Daphnia pulex: one gene and its partners. The protein of the gene in region 7 binds, or shares a complex with, the protein of the main gene of each other region. Links are inferred from orthologs where the notes say so. Each region holds a gene or a part of one and is shown on either strand. Other genes may lie near its edges.

Region 1 (3,608 bases), on a different chromosome or scaffold from region 7:
CACGAGAAGCATTCCGAGTATTTCACGTTCTAGCTGCGGAGAACAATGAACATGAATCTACTCGAGCAAAACGATACATTCGTCTATGTGCCGCTTTGCTGCCTATATATGGGTGTGTGTGTTTAGTGTTTACCAACTACCGTTACGAAATATCAAACGACATTTTAGCCTTGTACATAATCAACGGCACGTATGATGTAACACAAACTATCAATCTATCTGTTTCTACGAAATATGCTTATTATCACGACAACTTAAATTAATTTGCCTTTAGTAATAGAATAAGGATAGGAATAAGTCTTACCTAGATGGACTGCTTGCATAAAAGCGTCGTATTTCTTTAAACGTTAACGCCCTGTTTTTTTCATTATTGACTAAAAATTTGTGCCGAACGGTCATCACCTTTTAACAAATATGGGATCTAGTAATAACGAAAATTATTATTGAGTAATTAATTATGTTTGAACGTTAAAAAAAAGGGAAAATGTGTCCTGGAACAATTCAGTTTTCTGGAAAAGATCTCTGATCTGAGATCCATTTTACTTGTATCTCTCTCAACACAGTTGAAGTTTGTAAGCTTGGCAAATAGTTCTTGACAAGAGTAAACAAGAAAATCTGCAAGTGAAAAAATAAAAAAAAAAAAGCTGGATTCTGTATAAAACACGAGACCTCCTAGTTTTGATTCGTATGGGCCCATCACTCGTTAGAGAGACCAAAGAGCTTCACAGTTCCGGCGTCTCTGTTTCCGTCGTCTTTATCGTCACAGGCGTAGGCCAGCAGGTGAGAGCGTGGATGCCAGGCGACTGTGAAGGTTGGCGTGTCAACTGGAATGCTGATAACGCGCTCGCCTGTACCTACGTGGCTGACGTCGATCAGCAAGTCCTCTGACCCGGACGCCAACATGGACCCATCGTGACTGAAACTCAATGTCCGAACTGGCCAATCCAACCTAAAGGGGAAACACCCAGTCAGTAATTGAATAACCTCAATAGAAAACGGCACGTTATTATTGGCATTAATGTTACTTGGAGAAAGTGCGCAAACAAGCAATTTCATCGGCATCCCACAGAGAGACTAGGGCGTCGGCCGACCCAGTGGCAAAGTACCGTCCAGTGGGGTCGAATTCGATGCAAATGCAGTTGGCGGGGTGAGCCTGTGTGACGTGAACGGTCGTAAGCTCTGGGTAACTAGATACAAGAGAATTGATAGCGTCATGCTAGATTGAAAGCAGGGGGAAGAAAATTCATCATTACTCTAATATGTGGATGCAGCCTTGCCCACTAGTCAAAAAGAAAAGATTGCTAGCCTTGTTCCATTCTATTTCGTTGACTTCAAACTTGAACGGATGTTCTATTTTAATCTTAAAATTCCTGGCATCAATAAAAGTAACAAGGTCTTCCTTATTTCCCACTGCAATGGAATTTCCATCAGGTGACCACGTGATGTTGATATTTTCTCCTGTCAAATCACATTAATGAAGGATTGAATGTTTAAGCATAATTTCGTAATTAATTGTACCCTTGGTGTTTACTGTGGCGACACTCTTTTTAACTCTTGCATCCCAAACTCTCATGGTTTTGTCTCCACTGGCGGTGCTGAGCAAATCAGGATTGGTTTCGTGCCAACATAGCTGATCGACACTGTCATTGTGTCCCACAAACGTTTGCTCCTTAACCTGAAACAGAATGCCTCAAGCTCCATTATAATTGCTGCATGATTGATAAGCCGGGACTAATACTAACCAGTCTGTCGCTTTCCATAGTAAAAATGCACACCGTCTTGTCAAAGGAACCCGACGCTAACCGTCTTCCATCGCAATTCCAATCAACCGTGTGAACCTTGGCCGAATGTGCAGAGACTTCCCTCGTTCGAGTGTGCGTTTTAAAATGATTTTTCAGCTCTTCCAATTCGGCGACTGCCATCTTCTTATAATTTCGGGAAAAAAAAGCGGTTTATATACCTTTACTCGCGTGTCAACAAAACACAGTGTGTGCAGACGAACTAACGCGAAGCCGGTCGTCCCGCCATTTCCAATGCCAAGTCTCTTCTTCATCCGCCAGATGGCAGTTGGAGCGCGAAATTTGAAATTCCTAACTCACTAATAAAAGAAAAAAGGGGTCGGGCAAGGAATGCGTGGTGGTAATGTCGTCTCCTCAATTGGCTCTGATTAGTCGGACGTTAAACGATACGTTTATCGACTGGCTGGCCCAAAATAACAAAAATAAAATAAAAAAGGCGTAGGGTGGGCGGATAGGTGGAAATGCTTTTGTTACCAAACACGGGACACACACCGTAATCAAGCGTGACTAGTACACACACACACACACACAATGAACTCAACAAGCGAAGGGCGTCCAGCCTCTATCAGACGAGATCTAGCTGCATGAATATTATACTCTCTCTCCCAAGTCCCAGCTACACATATAAACTATAGCTGTGGAGCTTGCGCCATTTTGAATGTTATTACACGTCCGATAAATATATATATATCTACACGGCAATAATATGCGCCAAAGCCAAAAGAACCGAGTCCAAATCAACTGGGATGGGCAGCAGCAGCAGCAGCTATGCCCGTTTCTTCAAAAACTACGACTATATAGATTTCAGTTTTCTTATATTTTGTTCTTTTTTTCTTTCTTTCACAGCGCGCAATCATCAAATGATCCGTGTTTGGGCATCGGGGTAATATAAAGCAACAAAAAGTCGTAGTCTCTCTCTGCCAGTGCATGCTGGACCCACAGCGCCGGCACACAGCACATAAGACATCTACAACAACTACAACCAGAACGGCTTCTATATAACGCTAACGACTAACGAGTTAGCATCGACTTTACAAGAATTTACAGCTGTATAGTCGATGGAAGAAGAGAGCGGGGGTAGTAAGGAGAAAAAAAAGGGAAATTTACGAGTCCCCCTCTTCTTCTTCTTCTAGGAGAGAAAAGAAAAAGAAGACGGCCATAAAATAAGCAAATTTCTTGCCCGTTAACTGACGATAAAAGCGACTGGGCGTCCAAGCGCGCCTTGTGGCCTGGCCTGGCCTGGGCTGCTGCTGATGCTCCTACTGGACCTCCTTTTTCTTTGGCTGCTCTCTCCATCATTACACACACCAAAAGAACTTCTTCTTCTTCTTCTTCTATTTTGATAGCCAATCGGTCCCGTGTGTGCGTAATAACATATCGCAGTCGTAAATCTGCGAACGTCTCGTTTCGTTTTGCCCAAAAAGATTCTTTTTCTCTCTCTTTCCCTGGACCTTTTGGCTGGTCACTGGACTCGTCTCGTTGGCCTATACCCAAAGAGTAGTAAAATAAAAATATATAAGAAATAAAGGAAAAAAAAGGGTTTTTTTTCCTTCTATTTTATTTAAAACTCTTCCTTCTCCCCTTCAAATGAAAACGTCTATAGGGTAATACGATTCCGATGATACGCTTTTTTGTTGCTGGTGTGCCTCGACACTTTATGGAGATTGGACCCGCTGGCCCGTTATATATATCCCGGTGATTTACAACGCGGATATATATATATATAAATACAGCAGGGCAGCTCTGCTGTGTGTGTTGTAACATTAAGTATATAATATATATAGGAGAGTTTCTATTACAATAGGCATT
Region 2 (3,130 bases), on a different chromosome or scaffold from region 7:
CCGAATATCTAGTAAAATCGCGTAGAGAAAAAAATATTATAGCCTATTATTGCAGCATTTGAGTTGTAATATGCTTTTGTAGTACAGGGGACTTACTTACTGTTCCTGTCCCTCATGGTATAGGACCATGCTGTCTCTTTCCAGATTTCTAAAAAAGCGTCCTACACTACATAGTGAGGGTTTTGAACCCACACTTTATTAGTGGCGGGTTGCTTATTACCTTTGCACGATTATTTCCCTTCCAACTTGAATTTTCTACATTAACCTAAACCGCTACTCCCTTCGACTTGCCACTAGCCTAGAACTCCCTCACTAAATTTCATCTCTTTGTTTCATGCTGCTCTTTTCTTTATAAAATCAAGTGAAATTGCGCACCAACATATCAGGTTATTTCAATTACAAACTAGAAACAAAACAACTCCGCCGACCAACCTAACTCGGACCCATGAGAAAATGTGTTTCAAGTATACACCAAATTAGTATTTTTTTTTTTATCGGGATAAGAAATCAGGTCACATTTAATTTTAAAAAACTAAAAATTTTGTGATCGAACCAAGTCTTTGTTTCATTTAACTGTACGTCAATTAATAAACTTTAAAACGAACATTTCAGGCAAGTCCGAAACGTTCAGCACGTTTGCGCTTCTGTTCGTCAGAACTGCCGACCGCAGTGCTCGTAGTTCCGAATCTCTCTGCTCGCTTCTGTTTCTTCTCATCAACTTCGGAATTAGAATTAGAAACGACGCCAAAGCGAGCTTGCCTTTTCAGAAGTTTGTCATTATCAGGAACCTTAAATAAAAATTCACTACATGAAAACACGAAGAACGATGAGCTGATCAATCGAAAATACCTGAGGTTTTGATGTGTTTGATTCTGTGCTATTTGTACCGCCAAATCTTTCTGCTCGAACAGCTTTCTTCACAGAATCGGGAATAGGAACACCAAATTTCTGTGCTCTTAGTTTGGCTCTTTCTTCGGCAGATAAGGAACCAAGTTTAATCACCTTCTTTTCTTCCTTTGAGTCAGATTCATCACCTTTATTGGCATCATATTTAAGGTGGTCGTCATTTTCCTGTGAAACTGTGCCAGAATCTGATGGAGGAGTTACCACCTTTCTGTTCAAGATGATTTTTTTATGGGGAGAAACTATTTCATTCTTCGAGTCCTGAACAGTCCTGAAATATTATTCATTTCATCATTAATCTTGAGGCAATTATTTTCCAAACAAACAGAGTAACTAACTTTTCAACTGTAACTTTGGGGGCACTCAATGCAGTAGGTGTTAAAAGAACTGCATCATCTTCTTGGGCGATCAAATTTGCATTTCCTTCCTCTAAAATAGCTTCTTCATCCTATACCAAAAATAAAATTGCATAAGTTTATCACATTGTATAAAACCAATGTTCTTACTGCTAAAACTGCCTCCTCATCCAAAAGGTCATCATTGTCTAAGGCGCCATTATCTCCAGTATCGTCATCTTAACATCCACGGAAAAAAGCTTGAACATAAACATGGAAACAGTTTAATAATCAAAATGATAAAAGTTTACCTTGCACAGCATCTTGCAGTCTTTCCATCAATTCATTTTTAGTGCCAATGGTGCTGAGGCCTCGTGTTTTTAACTCTTTTTTAAGGTCCACAACCTAGCATGAAAACAACAGTCAAGATGAAATGCACACAGTAGGCCTATCACTAGTTCAAAAACATAATAGACATTTGATTTGACAAACTCAATCAGGATTCTAAGTTGGAAATATTGACAAGTTTCACTCAAATATAAAGTTAAGCGGGTTACTTTTAATTTAGAGATGTCCATGATTGTGATGATAATGATGACGTTTGTCTGTACCGGCGTCTCAAACTTTCAATGAATTACAATTGGAACGCGCAACGCGGTAACTTGAAAGTAATTCGACTTTTGAATGCCAGTGTATTGTTTCAGAGGAGAAATTGCGTATGCTTTTGCTGGCTTCTAAACTAGTGATCTCTATCGGGCGCATCCTGTACTAAAGTAGTGTCACCTATCGTCAATGCAAAAAGTTTGTCCGAGTCATGTTGCCATGTTAGTGTGTTACTAGCCAACAATGAGAAAGAAAACCCTCGAAAAAGTAATCAGCCACGTAGGATAACTCTGGTAGGATTTTGAAAAAAAATAGTGAGAAATTAATTTTAAGCGATGGGTTTCTCGGACAAAAAGGCTACGCATAAAACATTGCAACTACGTTATTTCTGTAATCGCAAATGATCAAACTCATTGTCAAAGTAATTTTTTTTTTTTAATTTAAAGAGCTTGATAAAAACTTCATAAAATATCTTGTGATAAACCAAGTAAAACTGATTGGCTTAACTAACTAGTGTGTGTATTGTAAATCAATGATTTTAAATTTCATCGTAACATCGTAGTGAATTTTGAATTTTTGATTCTTTTCCCGCTCAAAGAACAAGAAAGTGACAAAAAGTAACGTGTTTTAAGACAAGCAAACAGTTCAAGCTGCAATAGTTATATAATGAATGAGACAAATGCTCAAGCCGTGTATTTCGCTTTGACATGAAAATACGTGCGCGCAAAAAGCACTTTCACGACGACGCTCAGCTTCGGACAGTAGGCAATGTTTACGTAGCGAGCGACACATCTCAAAGGAAGAAAAAAACAATGGTCTTTTCGCGTCTTTTTCTTTCTTTTTTAACAAAAAAAAACAAAAAAACAAAAACAAACAACCAATTCGCAGAAACGTGGCTATATTCCGGCAAGGAGTAAAAGGTGGGTAAAAGGAGAACACCAATTGCTGTGGCAATATCCAACTTGTGCGAGGCAATCGATTTCTGTTTTTCTTTTTTCAAGGCACGCACAACTTAACTATATATATCATTTACTGCTGAGGACAATTATGGTTTTACACGTTTCCAATAAGGGATTGGGGGGGGGGGGTTAAACGGCACGACGGTAGTCGATTTGTCTGGTCCCGGGATACTGTTGTAATAAAGGATATACAGTGATGCCCAATGATTTTCTTATGTTTTTTCACTATTCTTGGGACCCAATTTTTAAGCCCATTCTGAAATGGCGTCAAATTTTCTCTTTTTAGCTTATCGGGAATTGTTTTTGTTTTTTCCCCGATAAATACACGTT
Region 3 (3,508 bases), about 3.2 Mb from region 7:
CAGCCGGTAGTGTATTAACTTTTAATTTACCATAATTTATATTAGTTATATTATCTGTTTTCCCACTTTTAGCCAAGCCGTTTCAAGTTAAATCACAGCACAAACACTAAAGGTTCTACAGCCGATCATGCACTGTGGGTGGGAGATTTGAGTGCTGATGTAGATGACTATGGCCTTTACAAATGTTTTTCTGCAAAATATAACTCAGTTCAATTGGCAAAGGGTAATTTGTAAAATTTCTGTAATGATTTTATTGGCAATTATCTGAACTTCTCGTATTTTATGTTTAGTGGTCAGAGGCAGCAATGGAGAAAGTCGCGGCTATGCGTTTGTTAATTTTTCTAATGAAAGTGATTACAAAGATGCGCTGACACATATGCAAGGTCACAGAGGACTCGGCAGCAACCCACTTAGAGTTTCATTGGCTATTCCTCGTAATTACAACATGATACCTGGTAAATGCACGCTTAAACTTTTCTTTGGAGTACATTTCATTTCATACTCTTTTAACTTTTAGGATCCTCATCCAGTACATCTTCTACTTCTACGTTAACTGCATCGATTGCTTCGTCAATTGTCCAGGCCGCAGCCAGCGGCCAGCCAGTTCAACCTCAAGCTGCTGCTGCAGCAGCTGGCTACGGACAGTACGTCGATCCAGCCTATTGGCAACAGTACGGTGGCTGGCAAGGATATGGTTACCAAGGCGGATACGGCTATGATGGTCAACAAGCTTATGCCGGATATGGCGTTGCTGGGCAAATGCCTGCTCAACCTGAAGAAGATGAGTTTGAGCTCATAGAACACAATACACCCGTCGATATTGAGAAACTGAACAGAGAACTTTTTGAGCGCAATCAGGATTTGTGGGATGCACTAGATGAAGCTCGCTGGACAACATTCAATCCAGAGAAAGCCGTTCCGGCAGTTAAAGCTGAGGAAAACGGAAGCAGTACTCCTACAGTAGTGGCCGCCTAATTTCTTTTTATAAAACACTATTGACCATCTCATACGATAAAAAAACAAAGATTCATTTCTGCTTGTCATCTGATTTTGTTTTACAGAATGAATACATTGATTTCAAATAAATACAGATTTCCAATTCTTTCACTTTCTGTATTATCTAGTATATTTAATTATTGACATGATTCTACACCCATAAAACATTTCCTCCACCCACATTTTTTAAAACATGCACTCTTACTCAATCGTAAATCACGACATACTTTCTTTTTTCCGCTAGGTGTCACTTTACTACCCAATAGCAGTCGAAAAAAGTTGAGCGTCATTAGTTCACAGCCGGGCAAACATCAGCAATTGTTTTCATTGACTTCACGAGAAACATTTCTAGATAGCTCGAAATTATCTGTTTTCGGCATTTTCTTGACCGTAATTGAACTTTGGTTCAGCAGTATTCTAGCACAAAATGGCTTCAGGAGGCAGAGTACCAAATAATTCAACTTCCTTATCCTTACATGAAAGGTATAAATCATTAGGCAATTTGGGTTTGTTATGTCGTATATGCGATTGAAATAGTTGTTTGCCGCAATTTTCCCCCTGTTAAACATTGAATTTCCTTGCTTTTATAAAGTATGTGTTGATTTTCTTCTCATTTGCTGATTTTTAACGCATGAAAATTTTTCGTTACAGATTCTCCAAATTACGAAGCTCAGCAGGGGGTCAGAAATTGGCTGGAAAACTGCAAGGGGCTAGAAATAATGCAGCTAATCTTCAAAAGGCATCAAGCAAGAATAGCAGACTAGCTCAACAGATGGAAAGACGAAATGCATCAGTCAGTGCTGCTTTGAAACTGAAAAAGGTGCAATTCCTCGTTTTTAATTCATAACCAGATATACTTACATCATTTATACTGTTATTCAGAAAAGCATCAAACAACGCCTTGGAGCCACAGTAAACACCAGTACTCGATTTCGCGGAACGGCCACCCAAACTCAAAGGAGACTCACAACCAATCGTGGAGCTGGTCGCGGGAGTCAGTCGCGAGGATCTCTGCGAGGAAGTCGAACGCAAGGGCAAACGGTCACCCCAACAAAGATAATTCGAGGCCGGGGCGGACTGAAGCCCATTGTCAGCCAAACAATCGTTCGTGGCGGTGGACAAGGAAACAAGAGAAGCACTCGCGGAAGAATCATTTCTCCATCGAAAAAGCCAGCCCCCGTTGCTGCCACAACCAATCGTTCGCCGACCAAACCTTCGCGTGCTAGAGGCAGCGTGAGAGGAAGACGAGGTGGTCGAGGGCAGATGACATCTTCATTGATTACCGGGCAAGCTGAAAGTCGTATCCAGCGTGGAAGAGGAAGAGGACGAGGCCAACGTGGTGGTAAGGGACCCAGTCGTGGAGGAAGCAGCTTGCCGACATCTCCGCGCGGTCAGACATCCGGACGTGGTCGAGGGCGTGGTCGAGGTGGCTCTACCAAGGTCAGCAAAGAAGATTTGGACAAGCAATTGGATCAGTACATGCAAAAGACTCGTAGCGCTCTAGACAATGATATTGAATCCTACATGTCTAAAATTGGGGACGTTGAAATGAATTAAATATGCAATAATCTTTCTCCAGTCGTTACCTCACCTGTGCTGCTCCCCAACTTCAAACGAAAGAACCTTCTTACTAATAACTCCCCTTCGCCAAGTCTTGATTGACTATTAACAATGTTTTAGTCCTTAAAGTTAAAAGTGAATCCAATTCAGAATTTGTCTTTGAGAAAATGGTTGGACTGTTGTGAAGAGTCTAGACAGAAAAAAGAGATTTTGGACAACCTTGTCTTGATTTCATTCTAGCACTTGATTAAATGGTTCTTGTACTTTCCCCCAGTTTTTGGAGTCCCTTTTTGCCGTGTGTTTCTTGCTTTTCCCTCCTGTTACGGCGCACTTAGCACATGTATCTTTTTATAATTCATTCATATTTCATCCGAGGACTTGAGTGTGAAAAGGTGTGCCTGTGAAACGAGAAAGAGAAACTCATCCCAAAAAATACAAATGATTAACCTCAACACTAATTTGATTTTTGTTCCTTCATTTAATCGTCGCTGATCATAGACAAAATTACAACAAATTACTCTAATGATTGGCCAGCAGTAATCAAGCGGGACCGATCGAAGCTAAATTAAATGGATAAGCTACAATTTTCCTACACAACTCAAGTCGAAATCAACTTGCTGATGGGCAACGGAACCCAACGAAAGAGCAACATTGTACAGAGTGTCTGGTGACCATTCGAGTGGGATCCTTGGATAGGTGCCAGCGTTAGGAAGCGAAGGGAAAAGACCCAGTTGACGCAGAAAAAAGCGAAAGGGTTTCGAACTCAATGCGGAGGCTTCCGCTTCCGTCCAAGGGACTATCGGGCATGGCGTATTCAATTTCAAGCTCAAACAGGTAATTGGATGACGGAATTCGTGGTCGGAGTAAATGCCCAAACGTGCTGCACAGGCCGTCAATAAAGACGACTGAATCCAATCGAGTTGTTTCTGAAATCCTATATTTATCGATACAT
Region 4 (4,117 bases), on a different chromosome or scaffold from region 7:
ATCATATTATTTGAATAAGCCAACTACAAAACCAGTAATATATCAAGATTATCCAGGGATTTCCAGACAAATGAATGTGAAAAATTACCTGACACCTAACAAACTCGTCTGTATTTCTTCTGGATCAACTATTTCAAAATCTTTGTTTAACAGCAAAACCCGTGCAAAAGTTATGAGTCTCGATAACAAAATTCAAAATACCTCAAAATATTAAAAAAAAATATATATATATATTCCCAAATGAGAACCTAAATCCCTGACTTTTCCCTGTATTGCAGAATGGGAACCGTGATATTCATCTGATTTTACTCTACCTGCATGTCCTTGGCCAGTTTGCGAACGTGCGTTTCCAAGTAATCTGGCAGCCGAGTGATAGGAGTATTACCATGAGTGAAGAAATGTAAACTTCGTCTAGCCAAAAGCCGCAAAGCACGCCACCCAAAATTAGCCTCACTAACTCGCCTGGAAACACGAAAATCGCTCATTCAGTTAAAACATTTTCGGAAAAATGTAAGCTTTAAAGTGCAAATTTTTACTTGTACTGGCTTTCCACTGAAGGATCCAGTTGCTCAATGGCTTCCTCAAAATAGTTTTCTAATGTAGGTAGAAAATCTCGATCTTTAGATCGACAGGCAGCCATGTTATCAGGACATAGATTCCACAAACGATTCATCTCAGCGCTAAAGAGAAAAAGCTGTAATTCAATGTTTTCAAATAATTTCATAATTTACCTACTTTCCAATAATGCACTTATTTCTTTTTGAAGCTTCTCGAATCTGATCTCCAAGACTTCTTTTGAGCCGTCTTGGTCGGCCAACTACGATCGTCTTTTTTTCTCCATTGGTACCATCTTTTATAGTATCATTATCAGTGGTTGAGCTGGTTATGCTGGGCCGGAATTCCGGGCAGCCATCGTTCTTCCAGTTGCTCCATAATTCTTCCCGCTACATCCAACAAACACCGATGGATGATATTTTTTAAAACTACTTTTATACAACTCAGTATACCTTTAGTATGTGTCGAATAGATTGGACGAAAGAAGCGCCATCTGGAGGTGTATCTTTCAATAACCGATAGACTTGATCGATAGCCTCGGAAACCCACGTAGTTTGTTCTTCGTTGAGCTTGTGAGTTTCGCTATAAATAGAAGCAATTCAAGCGGTTGAAATAGTCTAACTAATGAAACTTATTGAAACTAACTGTTTAAACTTGACAGGTGAATCCAGATATTGGAACATAATCAGAAACTGCAGCAGAATGTAACGTCTGAAGTTGGAGTCACCGAGCTGAAGTTCGAGAAGATTTTGACTCGTCAAATATTTGGCGAAATATTGTTGGACATTTCCACCATTCATGCTGGTTTCATTCATATCGATGTTTAATGCCACATCTGCCTCATCCCATTTAGAGCGGTTTCTCCGCTCATCCAGTTTGATAGTAGAAAATGCAGACAAAACATCACTAGTATGCTAAAGAATAATTGTTTTTCTGTTAGATGGAAAATTTTAACTTGAAATACTTGATGTTTTAGCTACCAAACAAAACGTTTTCCACGGGATTTTCGTATAGCACTGATTAGGGTTTCGAAAGAAATCTTGTAGGGACCAAAATTTTTTGTACAGATTGTAGTCGGAGCTCAAACTACAAAACAAGAAAATTTAGAAAAATATTGCAATAACTTGTCAATCAAATATATATACCTTTCTTCTACTTCCATTGCATCCTTGTGCTTTTCAGAATTAGCAGATATATCAGCAGCGTAGCTTTCATCTTTAGCTCCAAATGTCGTCAAATTATCCAAATTAAATTCGCTTACTACGTTAAGTCCGGATCGTTCAGAGAATGGGAAAAATTTTGCAAGAAATAGAAGAATTCGACCACAGAAAACCGTGTTCTGGCTTCGGGACAAGCGCCTCAGCAGATCTGAAAAAAAATATACATATAAAATTCATTTCAGCAACACAACTCACATAAAGCGAAACACTGTAAATGAATTTAGCAGAGTGGTATACATTGAAATAAGAGTAATGGATTGAATTCATATCAATACAGAATTAGATGCATCCAGTTACATAAATATTTGTGTCATACATTATTAGAATTTTGGAAAAATGTCTTTACATACCATTGCAAAGGCGAAGTAAGGTATTTTTACACTGATTGAAGAAAAGCTCTTGTTTCCAAATCGCTACTTTCATTTCAACCATGTAGAAAATTTCCTCACATTTTTCCAGAGACAGGATGTCAAAAGCATCTGTGAGCAAAATCACAGGCAGTGTTGGAGAACATACTAGAGCTACTGCACAATCCAGACTCAACTGCAACAACTTTTCAAACAATGGTATGGAAAAGTTTGAGGAATCACTCAAAAATCTGTCTCTAAACGCCTGATCCCATACAGCTTTTTTATCAGCTTCCCTACAATAAATATGTTTAATTACAATAATATGTAAATACTTTCTGCTTTGATTAAATTTACCCAAGATGAGCTGTATTGTTAACTGAAAGTAATTCACTGATAGTGGGTGGACCACCCAGTTTAAGAGCTTCAGAAATGGAATCCTACAGAAACCAAACACAGAAGACATAAGATTTTTCAATTTATTTCAAATATGGCTCATTGATAGATTTTTTTACTGTACCAGAAACGAACACCGAGTTTTCTCAAAATCAAATATTTCCATTTCAGTGGTTTTTTTACAAAGTAAGAAACATAAAAATAGTCGTGTTTTCGAAACGATCAGACGACGCTTCAAAACTTGGTTGCGTTGCCAAGTTTGTAAATTGCAATGTTGCCATTCTAAAATCAACTTGATTTTTTTTTCCGAATCCCGGAAAGCGGAAATTCTGGAAAGAAGTAAATGTCAAACCATTCAAGTTTAACTAATAAGTAATCGGTGATAATCAAATAATTTATCTGTTCAAAGAATATGTTTTGACTGAGATTACCGTTTTGACGTTTTCATACAAAAATGTTACTCGATTATCATCCCCTAGATGGCGAGTCGACGGATCAATAAAAATGGTGTTCTACAAAAGAGAGTCCTTTTTTGAAAAATCATCTAACGCGGGACTGCACCGAGTTTAATAAAGATAAAATTCCCATATAAAAACTACCTAATTTTAAGACATTTCTCATGTTTAATGTAATCGACAATAAGTAGCCTTTTTGAACTCAATATTTTCAATAGCATTCCAATGCTACTCATTTCACTACTAAACAATATTTAAGCGCATTCAAATACTCGAATGTTTTCAACTTCCATTCGTATTACTTTTATCATTTGATTTCCTATGAAAATCGGCAGGTATTGCCTGCCATATTACAACTACAGTATCGACTGCACTATCTACCGAGATTTCATAACCTTGTTCTAGTCTCTATATTTGAACTACCTCTGTTTGCTTACGAGCTCTGATTTTATGTCTACTTCCTGAAGTGCACCAGGAAAAGGCATAGAGGATTAGAGATATCGATTCTTTACTGCAGGGAACCGCCGTTTGTGGCACTTTTTAAAATCCTATTTCGCCTTTGATCATCTCAAATAAGAATAAATTAAAAGGAAATTATTAGTAGCATTATAAAACACCAGATAAAAGATATAAAATTTTACTTATTTCAAACCAATTTATCTGTGTCATTTGGACTGCAGGACGTCATCAACGAAAGATGACGCGGCACGTAAGCTGAAGCAAGAAACGCGAATCCTTAGGCCTTATTCTATTGTAATTAAACATGTAGATGGCGATCGCTTTGAGAGCCTTTAATGAGAAGAAGTTGTTTTCTCTGTTCAAATCGTCCCTGTGAACGAATAGAAGAAGGATGATTGCCAAAAACTTTGTCGATTTGTTTTTTATTTGCTGGCTACAATAACTCTTTGTCAAGCCTTTAATGTAATTATCTTGGGTTATTTACTCTCTGCATTGGCTAGTAACAATTGATGGGAGTAAAGGATAACTCGCAAAACATTACTATATCTCAAGCTAAAGTACGCAAACAAAACAGTCACAACGCTGTCTCCAGGGCAAAATGCCAAGATGTACTTGTACTTTGAAGTATCAAAATTGACAAAAAGTTGGTTTTTTCCCCGGTTTGCTATCAAAATTTCTCAACTTC
Region 5 (4,198 bases), on a different chromosome or scaffold from region 7:
AAGTTCAGTACTGGGAACGTTAACCTCCGCTTCGATTCTCTATTTTTAAAAATTACGTAAAATATCACAAAACCGAAGACGAAAAGTTTTAGCTATAATACATACGCGTATAATTTCACTATTTTCTCTATTGTGCTTTCCATTCCAGTTAAGTTCAAGTGAACAAATTGGTGTAGAGTTCGGGTAGTCTACAGGAACCATGAACATCGCGAGTAGTTTTGCTGGAATTCAAATACAAAAAAGGTTCCAATAATAATTAAATTCATCATACAGGATCCTTAACAGAAATTAAATTTTAAAATATTTTACAACTATACCGGATTCTCTTTCAAGAGTTGCTTTGTAAAACGAAAGGCTTTTTGGATTTACTTCAAGGAAGTTCAACAGCCGTTCAAGGTTCTTTGACGTTACGAGGCATTCTTCATACGTAGAAGACGTCCATGAGACGAGTCGAGAATAGATTGTTGGTGGAAAAGTAGCATTTGAGTCTTGATTGAGATCAAGTTCACCCTTTTCTGTTTAATGTTAAAGAAACTATGCATATTTTAAAACTGTTTTATAACAAGTATGAAATAAGACTCACCAAGTAAGTGTAAAACCTTAACAAACTGGAAACGATAAGTAATCCTACTTTTTAGGGCAAGAATAACCTAAATACAAGTAAACACGGTTATTCTTGTTTTACTATGTTATTGTTGTTTAAAAAATTATAGAGACCGTTTCAACGAATTCCGTGTTGATGAAAGATTGAGGTGTCGATTTTACGATGCCGTTGAAATCTAACCCAGCTAAACGTTGGGCCCAAAGGTAAGGTTTTCCTTGTTCAGTTATTTTACCGTTGATCATAGACCTTGCTTGAAAACAATTGACCCAACTGGGCGATTCATCCCCATGGTCGTTTGGAAAAAGTCCGGAAAGGAGATTATCGATCATACAAATCTGACTAGTAAGAGAAAGACTTTTTTAAAAGACATTTCGACATATAGAAAGAAAGCAATAATATAATCTTACTTTACTCCATCGTCTTGCTGAACGGGCTTGCAGTCGACCGTGACGATATTTAATGTTGTTAAATACGTGAAGTTAAGGACAACGCGTTCAATCTTAAGTTGAATACGTAAAGGATGCCTAGTCAATTGCCAATCTGTTTTCATTTTATTTGAAGTCGCGGAGCGTTTGTTTGTTTCATATTCCGTCTCCATGTCAGATTCCGCTGAATCAACATCCTCGAGAATTTCGTCCAAACCAGTTTTATTCTTTGACCCAAAATTAATAGCATCTTCCATTCCACCTTCGATAGAAATTTGCAATGACGGATCTGCGGGTTAAAGTCATATTTATCGTAACGATTAAGAAAACTTACGAATTTAATAAAATTACCGCATGCTTCAATGAACGCTTTTATCTGACTGTACAAAATGTAAAGTGGATCCGGTAATAACACAGCCAACTCTTTCTGAAACTTGATTCGCTCTACAGGCAAATTAAGCTCTTCTTGTAAGGGTCGCGTGGACTTTCGAAACATAAATATTAAAATCAAATTCTTTTAGATTTTGTATCACTTAATTACCTCAAGTATGGAAGTAAGTCTGGGTAACAGGCTTTCAAGTTGTTTTTGTTTCTGACTGATTTCACTGGATGCCTTTTCTCGATTTTGTTCCAGACTACGGCACTGTTCCGAAAGACGTTTCCGTTGTTCAAATTCCCATTCCAACCGAGCCAAAGTCAATTTGTGTTGATTACTTTTGGTCAATTCCTAAATGTAAAGAAAACAAAATAAGAATACTTTTTGGTAGTGGTTGGTAAACAATAGGTAGATTTTCATACCATTTTAGAAATGCTACTTGGGGCCTCCTGATAAAACTCCTCAACAGGAACAAGTTCAATGTCCTCATCTTTAGACTTGAACTCCAAACACTTGTCCACTTCTTTCTTCAGATGAAAGACTTCATACAGCAGATTTTCTAGTTGTAAATGAAATGTATCCACACGCTGCTTGGCATCATGGGTTGTATCCCTTGCCTTTTTCAATCTAAGCTTGTCTATTCGATTTAACTTCTTCAATGTTACAAACAAAAGAGAAGCTTCTATTCTTTTTTCAATGATCTTTTTACTGGTTTCTTCATCGGTTTTTCCAGATGTTTTCAATTGTAAAATGTCTGTCATCAATCTTTTTAATTCACAACATGTTTCTTTGAATATTTTCAAGTCACTTTCCCCTGTCCGGGATTCAACTTCCTTGTCTTCAATGTCCATGAAATTCTAGAAAATCATGCAAATGAAAAGTTAAATTCAGCACTATATCATTTACCCAATAAAAAATCTAACCAAAGTTAAGAGAATTAAGTAACAAGTACCTTGCAAAATTCCTTCACTTTACTTGCTGCTGCCATAGATGAAACATCATTTTTGCTTTTTTTGGGATCTTGTTTAATAGATTCGGAGTCACTTCTTTTAGTTTTGGAAGGTTTAGACATTGTTAATACCGCTTCCAAGCTTGTTCCGTTTACCAGTTTACTATGTTAAATAAGTCTTGTCTACGTCTACTATATGCAAGGCCGACAAAACTGTATAACGTGTTGAATCTTTTTATTCTTAAACGGGTACACGTAGCGGTAATTTTAAGAACTAGTTCCGTTAAAATTAAAATTTTCTTTTAGCTTTATCAGGCTTTATCAAAGAAAATAGGAAAATAGCCCGAGTCCTGGAACCTTGCTTTAAATAAATTGAAATTTTAAACAATACTCTTAATCTTGAAAGGACTGCGCATTGTATCAATGATTTAGAAAGAGGACCTAACCGTTTAACATTACCTTTACATGAGTAAGGGAGTTTCCCGATAGCTTAAAAATATTCAACCACCAACATTTCATTTCTCTAACCATGAGTTGAGATATAGACATCACTAATTATCTCAAAGGGATCGTCAAGTATGCAATTTTCCTGTTATACATTTTATCCTTCCCATTTAAGGATTAATAATTGGTATTCAAGCAAAATGACACCTTATACCTATAAATCATGTTAAAACTACTGTGGGTTATGTTTGTGAATATTTTAAAAAGGTTTCAAACTTTTGCCTTTCTTATGTCTGACTTTTACGAAAGTTTTCCACCAAATAAGCTGTAAGAACTGAGGCAATTCGACGTACGTCTGACACATTATAGACAGGATAATCTTGTATTTTTGCCGTTTTTGGTTGAAATACAAAATACAATCCCGAGAACGGTTTACTTCTTCTTGCCACCCTTGGCAGCCTTGGCTTTGGCGGCTTTAGCCTTTGCCTCCTTGGCTGCTTCAGGATCTTCAGCCGCTTCCTTAGCTCGCTTAGCTCGGATACCTGCAAGGCGTGCTGTTGTTCGGGCCGTGCGGAGTACAGCATAAGGAGAGAATTTGCGATCGGCCGGAGTGATGGCGCGAGCCTTCTCCAATTTGTAAGACCTGGTGATGGGCATAACCTCAGTAGTCAACTGTTGGGCCAACTTGATTTCCTCAGGCTGAAATAAAACATAATGTTATTGTAAAGTGGTGGTACACAATCCTTGTCACAATTCTTACAGTAGCATCAGTCTTCTGGGGTTTCTTGGCATTGCGTGGGAAGAGGATCAACTTGCTCTTGTAGACCTTCAAGCGAGTGGCGTTCAACTGCAATGATTCCACAGACTTGTTACGACGACGGTGGTCAACAGCAATACCAATTGTTGGGGCGAAACGCTTAGGGATCTTGGCAGCCTAAAACAAAAAATTCAAATAAAAATGATCACATTAATATATAAAACTTTGGAGCATATGGCATAATAAAACATTTGCTACACTAAACCAAATGGATTATTTAACTCTTCGACAATGAAACCAGAGCAATTTGCAGTTTGATTTGAGTCGTGTCTGTCATAATTTCCACAATTCAAAACATGATACATTAATAGTAAATATGTTACCCTCAATTCCTCCAAACTGAATCCTTTTCCAGCACGAACACGAGTGTTGTACCGGAAAGTCGGGCACCTGACGATGGGCTTCAATGAAGTCGTTGGACGAGGAAACACACGACGAGCCTTGGCTACACGGTGTGCGTGCCTCCTCTGCTTGCGAGCTGGCTGTAAAGATGAAACACTACTGTAAAGCACACATTCAACACACATATTAAAAGAAATGTACCTGATTAAACCAAGTCTTGACATAACGCTGCCACTGTTTG
Region 6 (2,948 bases), on a different chromosome or scaffold from region 7:
ACCAAAGGAATTTGCTTCATTCGTACATCTCGCCCCAACACAGCCGTCATCTACGAGAACGAACAAGTTTTCTCTGCTGGAAAGGGTCACGTTGTTCGTAGTCACGATCAAGACGATTTGGTTATCGTTGGCGCCGGCGTTACACTCCACGAAGCGCTGAAGGCGTCCGACATGCTGATGGAAGCCGGCATCAAGGCTGCTGTCATCGATCCATTTACCATCAAACCCATTGATCACGATTTGCTGTTGAAGGAAGCCACTCGTTGCAACGGCCGGGTTTTGACCGTTGAAGACCATTACCCAGAAGGTGGATTGGGTGAGGCTGTTGCTTCAACTCTAGCCGAACAACGAAATATTATCGTCAAGATTTTGGCAGTTCGCGAAGTTCCCCGCTCCGGTCCTCCAGAGGTTCTCCTAGAACATTTTGGAATCGGCGCCAAGGCTATTGCCGAAGCCGCGAAAAAACTTGTTGCGTTGTAAACGCCCTTTTTTTAAGTCACTCATTCCTATACCCATTCCTTACCAGAGGTCTATGGATAGTTGAGAAGAATTGGTGGTGTTTTTTGAAACATTCTTCTATGGCATTCCAAGTCGTATATGTACCGTTTGGATAGTTTATTCATACATAGCTTTTTTGGTGTTTCAAATGATTTTTATTTGTTAGCATTATTATTCAAAAATAGAAAAAAGGGATGCATACAAAATGAACAATTATTAGGATGCTTCATCATCGTTAAGAAGTTGCTGTAATCCTTGGATAGTTGAAATGAGTAAGTGAAATTGTTTGCGTCTTTGTTCTAATTTGGCCTCCAGTTTTTGACATTCACATTCTGAAGCTTCCAGTTCCTGTCGCAATAGGGATAATTTCTCTTGGTTGCTCTTTCGATCAGGCTGTGTTTGAATAATGGCAGCCAAAGCATCATATTCCATTTTATTCCTGCGAATCTGTCTTGCTTCTTGCAACTCCTTCTTGGTTGCTTCAATGTCTTTTTTAGCTGACACAATTCCTTCTTCAATCTGGTTGTAGAGGTCGTCATAGTGCTGCTGTTCTGCAGTGTTCATTTCACAGCACCTCAAGGATTTTGTGGCAGCAAATTCACATTGGGCAATCTGACCAATCATTCTAGCGTAGGATGCTTGTCTGTAAAACAAATAAAAATACATCACATATAGAGTATAGAAGAATTTTATACAAAGATTAATTTACGTTTCTTCAACACTATCTGTAGAGTTGCACCAAGCTAGGAAACCTTTAAGCAATACATTAAGTCTTCTTTCATCACCAGTTCCTTCGCCATCAAACAACAGCCTCCTTCGGATGATCTCTTCTACATAACGAAGTACAAGATGAAAATTAACCGAAATAATATTACTAACAAGTCAAATTACCATCTCCCATTTGTGAATAATGATTGGGATCAAAATAAGACCAATAATAATACAATTTAACTGGTAAAGCTTTGAGAATATTGAGATGTCAAACCGGGCGAAAGAATGAGATGACAAACCTAGGAGAAATGTCGCTGCGGAAACGCCGGAAAGTACTGAAAAATGAAAAAATATTTTCGTCTGCCGTAAGCGTAGTTCGCTCGTCTTTTGTTTTGTTTTTTAAATCCGCCAGCAGACGACACGCCCCTCAAATGAAAGGAAGGAGACATGGCTTTTTAAAAAATCATCCGATTGATTAGGTATCTATTTTGTTTAGGGTTAAACTTGCATGCCTGTATAAACATTAGCAAAACCGAAAGAGAGCTAGTCCAGCAGATCAGCAATATACTTGGGAAACCATTGAACGGTTTAGAATCAATCAGGTGATGTCAAGGAAAGAATCCAATGAAATGCTGGATCTGGAGTGTTGTTTTTCTCGTTTCCAGATTAACGTCAATCTCTTCTTTTTAATTAAACTGTTGCCTTACATTCTAGGAAAACCTGTTTTTATTGTCCTGAAAATTGAGATTGGTGATCAAGATTGACAGATTCATTTTAAACAGGTGTGTAACTGACAGTGAAAAAATAATTTTGGGTGCAAGATACTTACAAACAACATTTATTTGTAAGTATAAAAGGTGCATGTCAATTAATGGTTGTATTTGTCAAGATGTCAGATGGTTGATTGGTTGGTAATATAAAATAACTGAGTTGAGAGAGATTTGGTACCTCAATGGGGAATTTTCACATATGTGTTTATCAGTTGATGTCATTATGATTATGTGCAGCTTGTTCTCATAGTCATACTTGTTGCAGTCCATGTGTGAAAATTGTAAAAAGATACTTAGCGCAAAGAAAAATGTACTTTTTGAGTTCCGCAATGCATAAAATCTTTTGCCAAAATTAAAAAAAAAATAGACGGACGATTGAGGATTTAAATTATTGCTAGAACGTTTCGCTAGAAGATAATTTCATCATTAAATCATCATAAAATTTCATAAATTGCCAACGAATAGAATCAACAACTTTAGTACGCTTACACATTAAGGTCTTCAAGTGGCAAAGAAACGCAACGCATTTTTTAATTCTAGGAAAAATATACAAGTACTATATTAAAGGTAATTTTGAAATAGTCCAATGGGTGTTAATGCCATAGAGTAATTAGAGGAGGCAAGGCATCAAGGGCAGTGGTAGCTGCCGAGCTGCTTTCACTATAGTTGCAACGCTGTTGCAGGTGAGGAAAGAAGACGGAGTCTCGGAGAGGAGAAATTAAGAAAAAATTTTCTGTTAACAAAGATGGCGTCCAACGATGACAGTCCAACAAGTCTTCATGGCCAGCCTTGGTCTGTTTGGGCTGATAGATTAGGCAGAGATAGTCCATTAAGTGAGTAAATTGCCTTATAAGTTGTCTTTTCTTGATAGCTAACGGATATTTTGTGAAAATTGTTTTGATGGTGTTATCGAATCGGTACGGCTTCGGCCTATCTCGATGGACGGCTGTTTAAATTGTCAAAATAAAA
Region 7 (3,709 bases):
GGTTGGAATTTAAAAAGCTTGCCACAGCTTTCTCTGCCACTCACATTGTTACCTCATTCTATCTTTGATTAATACACTATCCGCGTTCAGCGTGGCGAAATTTCAATACTGGCGAAAATTTAACCTTCGTCTATTATTACAATTAAAAAAGACGATTTTAAATACCTGGTCGAATAAGTTTCGTTTCTCTGGGCTTAGTTGTGTAAGGTCCATGACCGAGAGAAAAGAGAAATTTTCCTCTCGGAATAGTAGAAAGAAAGAAAGTCCCGAGATCCGTATGTTAGATTGCGCGGCTCAACTGGAACTTTTCGAGTTAAGAGTTAAACTTTTTGATCGTTTTGACACTTTCAATTGTCAAAACATGGTGTTGGCTGTTTGTTGGGTTTTAACTCGACCTAATAGTTCCACTACGTCAGTTCGTGTTGTTCCACTGTGATTTCGCTTTATAAGTGCCCAGTCTGAACGAGAATAGCAGTGCGATGCGACCGATCTGTTGGGTGGTTCACACATCAAGAAGGCAAGCGAACGAATGTAGGCTAAGGCCATTAGATTTTTTGGATTCTAGCAATATTATTATCAGAGAGGAAAGCAGGTTTCCTTTCCTGGTATTTCTTCTTGCAGGCCCTCTGATGTTTACTGAATGCACTACGTGCTGTTGCCCTAGCGCTGTATTTTGCTCCCGGCGGCTTATCCCGTTAATAACAGCCTTATGTATTCACGGCGGCCTGAATTATTACAGGTTATTCAGTAATCACTCCACAAGTTTATAAACTCGTAAATTATGCGATCCGCGGGGGGATATAAACTGCAGTCAAGGTTTTCCTGAAGAAAACTTAACACACTGCTGCGCCGCTACGTCTCAGGTGTGACCAAAACACGTATCTTGGCTATCACATTTTATTATATATTTTTTTATTTGAAACATTTCACTTTTTTAAAATTGGTCTGGTTGTTCTGTGTCAAAGTCAACATCTCGAAAATAATCAAAAAGGCAAGTCTATAACAAATTTGGGGGAGTGTTTTCACACAAGTCTAGATACGGTATCATGTCTGATTCCAATAGCTGATTTCATGGGAAATCAGATCTAGTTAATCTAAGCAAATAAGATTAAACTACAAAAAGCTGAAGGGATATCGGTTTCGATTCAAGGCCCAAGGGAAGTGACGTGTAGGGAATAATGGGAATAAGTAAGTTGCGTTCAGTGTATGACAACTCATTGATGATATTCATTATATCTGAGAGTGTCCTTGATCTTATTATTTTGGTCTTTTCAAATCTGAAGTTGACCACATTAAATAACTACAGTTAAAATTTTTGAAACATCATTCAACAGCGCTTTAAATCGGTTTAGATCTTCATCGAACCAATGAAACCAAGTCGTAGTTCACATTTCTATTTGTTTTTGGCTTATTTCTCAGTTGAATTTCCCGGGTAATGGCTGAAACTGAAAAACCTTTCTCGGATTTCCGCAAATTAGTAGATATCGTAGCAGACGCTTCCGCATGGAGACCCAGAGCGCCACAAAAATCAAACTTTGCCGGTGTATATTCTTGTTTTGATTTTCAAATTAAAAGTTAAATTTACTGAGTTACAAATTCTCCGACTTCACGAATAACTAAACTGTTAAAGCAGTGATTAAAGTGCGAAAATATGCCTAACATAAAATCGTTTTACGTGACTGTCCTCTCTCAAGCCCTATCTCCTTGTGAGGAATTTCTAGCTGCTGGAACCAATTTTGGGAATGTCAACATATTTAAGTATTGAATTTATTCTTAAAATAATATTACTGAAAAAAAAAATTTTATTAACATGTATCTCTTCCTAGTATCAAAAGTTTGTATGCCGAAGATGAACAGGGTCCACGTGAAAGCCTCACATTACCACAGAAATGCTTTTCTGTCAGTACCAAACCTTTGCAAGCTATAACATCTTTAAATGATAACTTACTCGTTGGAGGCAAGAACTGTATTGAGGCATTTAGCTGGAATCAATTGGTGCTTCCACAGAATAGTGATGAGAAGGTGAAACCTTGCTGGAAAGTTGATCTTCGCTTGCCAACGTAACCATATTAGAATATTCTGATTATTACATTTATCATAATTAACTGTTGGTTTTATGTAATTTTATAGTGACTTTGGCACTAAAGAAACTGTAGATTGCATGATTAACGGTGAAAACTCAACTTTTGTTGCTTGTGGAGACAACAATATTCATCATGTAGATCTTGAATATGGGAAAGTTAAACAAACCTTCTCTGGTCATACTGATTTCATTCACTCAATGTCCCTGGTGTATGTAGATGTAGTTACAATTCAAGTTATTGCATAAAAACATTAATTACTTTTTATTGTGTGATAGTGGGAATCAGCTATCAAGTGCAAGTGAAGACGGAACAGTATGCATCTGGGATACTCGAAAATCAAAACCTAATCACGTAATTACACCACATTTGGAGTCTAAACTGAATCGACCCCATCTGGGAAAATGGGTTGGTGCTGTTGCTATGAATGAAGATTGGTTGGTAAGTCTTGTTTAAGGAAGTAATCTAATCGATGAGAAATCACTACAGTTGTTATTTGTCGCATATCATAGGTGTGTGGAGGAGGCCCGCACTTAGGACTTTATCATTTACGATCTTTGACAATGAGTAGAGTATTACTCGAAGAAGACGTCCATGGTGTTAACAACGTTATGTTTCACGAAGACAATATAATCGTCGGCGTAGATGGACCGTTTGTATACCAATGGTAATTTTTAAAAATTTAAATTTCCCCCTTGACACTAATGTGTGAGCTGGGTCAATTATTTTTAGCTTATTTTCGGGAGATATTACCGTCAAAATGCCTACAAGTCCCCTTAGAGTCTACAGTATTTGCCTCCAGAAAAAGGATGCAAATAAAGTAAAAAAATATTATGATAATGAAATGAAAAACAAATATAATCTTTGGATTGTTATATTAGTTGCTATTCGTCGGCGGATCCGGTGGAGACATTGACATTTGCACCAGTTCTAAACTACAAGATCAAGTGATTCGTTGTCTTTCATGAATTATGTATCGTCATTTGAACATTTTCATCTCGCTTGCCCTTCCATCAATTATTATACAAAAAAAAACAAAGACATCTGCCATGTCTTTAGATTAATAATGTCAAATTGTGATGTTTTATATCGAGTAATGTTCACAAGAAAATACATCGTGATAATTTATTTCTGGGTTTATTGAATCAATGTTTATTTTAGGAGTGCAATTTAAAAAAAATTAAAATTTATAAAACATGCATTGACGGCATTGACGGAGATTGGTCCGTGACCTGGCCGTGATTAAATTGATTGGCCAACAACGCGCGAGCTCTAGAGGAAGGAAGGAGATTTGGCAACGTCAAAGGCTAGGACGAAGCAAGCAACGTGCTTGGAAAGACTTCTCAACTTGAGAGAAGACTTCTCAAGTTCCTCTCAACAAATTTACGTTTTGATTTCATTATGTCCGAATTGCAGTCAGCATTACTTCTTAAAAAACAGCTAGCAGGTAATTCAGTTGTTCTTGGAACAGGTTATGTAAGATGAAGAGCGTGCGAGTCGCTGTACTTTTTATTTGTTTCACCAGTTTCACTCATTCAATGGCGTTGGCTGACGGCTTTCTTGTTTGTTATATGCTTGACTTGAAATTTTTTATCGAGTTTAAGTGTTGTTTTAACATTCGTTTATTT

The links.
Region 1: THO complex subunit 6 homolog (region 7) and THO complex subunit 3-like share a complex: the UniProt entries of both Homo sapiens proteins name them as parts of the transcription/export (TREX) complex. The link is inferred for Daphnia pulex from reciprocal best matches to the Homo sapiens genes THOC6 and THOC3.
Region 2: THO complex subunit 6 homolog (region 7) and SAP domain-containing ribonucleoprotein-like share a complex: the UniProt entries of both Homo sapiens proteins name them as parts of the transcription/export (TREX) complex. The link is inferred for Daphnia pulex from reciprocal best matches to the Homo sapiens genes THOC6 and SARNP.
Region 3: THO complex subunit 6 homolog (region 7) and chromatin target of PRMT1 protein-like share a complex: the UniProt entries of both Homo sapiens proteins name them as parts of the transcription/export (TREX) complex. The link is inferred for Daphnia pulex from reciprocal best matches to the Homo sapiens genes THOC6 and CHTOP.
Region 4: the proteins of THO complex subunit 6 homolog (region 7) and THO complex subunit 1-like are in contact, whole or in part, in a cryo-EM structure (PDB 7APK), measured with the Homo sapiens proteins. The link is inferred for Daphnia pulex from reciprocal best matches to the Homo sapiens genes THOC6 and THOC1. Residues at the interface, in NP_001334633.1 of Homo sapiens: Leu57, Ser58, Ser59, Glu60, Pro312, Glu313, Lys315, Thr330, Asn331, Gly333, Tyr334, Ala336; in NP_005122.2 of Homo sapiens: Ser227, Pro229, Ile230, Asp231, Tyr232, Leu234, Arg236, Val270, Ser273, Tyr274, Asp309, Leu312.
Region 5: the proteins of THO complex subunit 6 homolog (region 7) and THO complex subunit 5 homolog are in contact, whole or in part, in a cryo-EM structure (PDB 7APK), measured with the Homo sapiens proteins. The link is inferred for Daphnia pulex from reciprocal best matches to the Homo sapiens genes THOC6 and THOC5. Residues at the interface, in NP_001334633.1 of Homo sapiens: Val5, Pro6, Ala8, Val9, Pro10, Leu11, Gly12, Gln13, Val16, Phe17, Leu20, Gln21, Leu23, His24, Met25, Thr26, Phe28, Tyr45, Tyr80, Asp94, Glu125, Val126, Pro127, Glu128, Asn130, Gly146, Tyr170, His172, Glu188, Trp222; in NP_001002877.1 of Homo sapiens: Pro406, Gly407, Asp538, Ile539, Val540, Asp541, Ala542, Gly543, Leu544, Ser575, Ile576, Ser593, Asp596, Arg599, Glu602, Gly603, Asn606, Val607, Tyr609, Arg660, Phe662, Arg663, Gly664, Pro665, Ser666, Arg667.
Region 6: the proteins of THO complex subunit 6 homolog (region 7) and THO complex subunit 7 homolog are in contact, whole or in part, in a cryo-EM structure (PDB 7APK), measured with the Homo sapiens proteins. The link is inferred for Daphnia pulex from reciprocal best matches to the Homo sapiens genes THOC6 and THOC7. Residues at the interface, in NP_001334633.1 of Homo sapiens: Asp229, Trp232, His245, Thr252, Gln268, Asp269, Gln284, Leu285, Ser286; in NP_079351.2 of Homo sapiens: Lys110, Arg113, Lys114, Gln117, Glu118, Ala121, Leu122, Val125.

What each region holds. Positions count from the first base shown.
Region 1 is NC_060028.1:7,657,440-7,661,047, forward strand, and holds THO complex subunit 3-like, read right to left. Parts: upstream 2,377-3,608; 5' UTR 1,923-2,376; coding exon 1,743-1,922; intron 1,676-1,742; coding exon 1,519-1,675; intron 1,459-1,518; coding exon 1,254-1,458; intron 1,188-1,253; coding exon 1,026-1,187; intron 950-1,025; coding exon 697-949; 3' UTR 501-696; downstream 1-500. UniProt on the Homo sapiens protein: Component of the THO subcomplex of the TREX complex which is thought to couple mRNA transcription, processing and nuclear export, and which specifically associates with spliced mRNA and not with unspliced pre-mRNA.
Region 2 is NC_060024.1:915,590-918,719, forward strand, and holds SAP domain-containing ribonucleoprotein-like, read right to left. Parts: upstream 1,954-3,130; 5' UTR 1,817-1,953; coding exon 1,796-1,816; intron 1,644-1,795; coding exon 1,550-1,643; intron 1,478-1,549; coding exon 1,410-1,477; intron 1,352-1,409; coding exon 1,242-1,351; intron 1,175-1,241; coding exon 850-1,174; intron 789-849; coding exon 609-788; 3' UTR 501-608; downstream 1-500. UniProt on the Homo sapiens protein: Binds both single-stranded and double-stranded DNA with higher affinity for the single-stranded form. Specifically binds to scaffold/matrix attachment region DNA. Also binds single-stranded RNA. Enhances RNA unwinding activity of DDX39A.
Region 3 is NC_060027.1:3,847,523-3,851,030, reverse strand, and holds chromatin target of PRMT1 protein-like, read left to right. Parts: upstream 1-1,267; 5' UTR 1,268-1,423; coding exon 1,424-1,479; intron 1,480-1,647; coding exon 1,648-1,816; intron 1,817-1,878; coding exon 1,879-2,553; 3' UTR 2,554-3,008; downstream 3,009-3,508. Other genes in the region: tRNA selenocysteine 1-associated protein 1-like, read left to right, coding at 1-6, 73-223, 291-455, 518-975; protein timeless-like, read right to left, coding at 3,135-3,490. UniProt on the Homo sapiens protein: Plays an important role in the ligand-dependent activation of estrogen receptor target genes. May play a role in the silencing of fetal globin genes.
Region 4 is NC_060026.1:6,262,967-6,267,083, forward strand, and holds the start of THO complex subunit 1-like, read right to left. Parts: upstream 2,801-4,117; 5' UTR 2,685-2,800; coding exon 2,643-2,684; intron 2,563-2,642; coding exon 2,480-2,562; intron 2,419-2,479; coding exon 2,126-2,418; intron 1,924-2,125; coding exon 1,701-1,923; intron 1,642-1,700; coding exon 1,536-1,641; intron 1,470-1,535; coding exon 1,201-1,469; intron 1,138-1,200; coding exon 1,008-1,137; intron 945-1,007; coding exon 736-944; intron 681-735; coding exon 537-680; intron 463-536; coding exon 315-462; intron 1-314. UniProt on the Homo sapiens protein: Component of the THO subcomplex of the TREX complex which is thought to couple mRNA transcription, processing and nuclear export, and which specifically associates with spliced mRNA and not with unspliced pre-mRNA.
Region 5 is NC_060020.1:6,248,670-6,252,867, forward strand, and holds the start of THO complex subunit 5 homolog, read right to left. Parts: upstream 2,801-4,198; 5' UTR 2,478-2,800; coding exon 2,358-2,477; intron 2,263-2,357; coding exon 1,828-2,262; intron 1,757-1,827; coding exon 1,571-1,756; intron 1,514-1,570; coding exon 1,381-1,513; intron 1,319-1,380; coding exon 1,012-1,318; intron 944-1,011; coding exon 718-943; intron 651-717; coding exon 584-650; intron 516-583; coding exon 318-515; intron 222-317; coding exon 106-221; intron 40-105; coding exon 1-39. Other genes in the region: 60S ribosomal protein L13-like, read right to left, coding at 3,231-3,497, 3,559-3,732, 3,939-4,097, 4,159-4,198. UniProt on the Homo sapiens protein: Component of the THO subcomplex of the TREX complex which is thought to couple mRNA transcription, processing and nuclear export, and which specifically associates with spliced mRNA and not with unspliced pre-mRNA.
Region 6 is NC_060023.1:12,053,787-12,056,734, forward strand, and holds THO complex subunit 7 homolog, read right to left. Parts: upstream 1,547-2,948; 5' UTR 1,400-1,546; coding exon 1,390-1,399; intron 1,329-1,389; coding exon 1,208-1,328; intron 1,142-1,207; coding exon 715-1,141; 3' UTR 501-714; downstream 1-500. Other genes in the region: transketolase-like, read left to right, coding at 1-480; ataxin-7-like protein 1, read left to right, coding at 2,725-2,812. UniProt on the Homo sapiens protein: Component of the THO subcomplex of the TREX complex which is thought to couple mRNA transcription, processing and nuclear export, and which specifically associates with spliced mRNA and not with unspliced pre-mRNA.
Region 7 is NC_060027.1:616,855-620,563, forward strand, and holds THO complex subunit 6 homolog, read left to right. Parts: upstream 1-1,275; 5' UTR 1,276-1,651; coding exon 1,652-1,758; intron 1,759-1,826; coding exon 1,827-2,060; intron 2,061-2,130; coding exon 2,131-2,292; intron 2,293-2,359; coding exon 2,360-2,522; intron 2,523-2,593; coding exon 2,594-2,748; intron 2,749-2,813; coding exon 2,814-2,901; intron 2,902-2,962; coding exon 2,963-3,049; 3' UTR 3,050-3,209; downstream 3,210-3,709. Other genes in the region: SEC14-like protein 2, read right to left, coding at 166-213; ubiquitin-conjugating enzyme E2 G1-like, read left to right, coding at 3,483-3,528. UniProt on the Homo sapiens protein: Component of the THO subcomplex of the TREX complex which is thought to couple mRNA transcription, processing and nuclear export, and which specifically associates with spliced mRNA and not with unspliced pre-mRNA.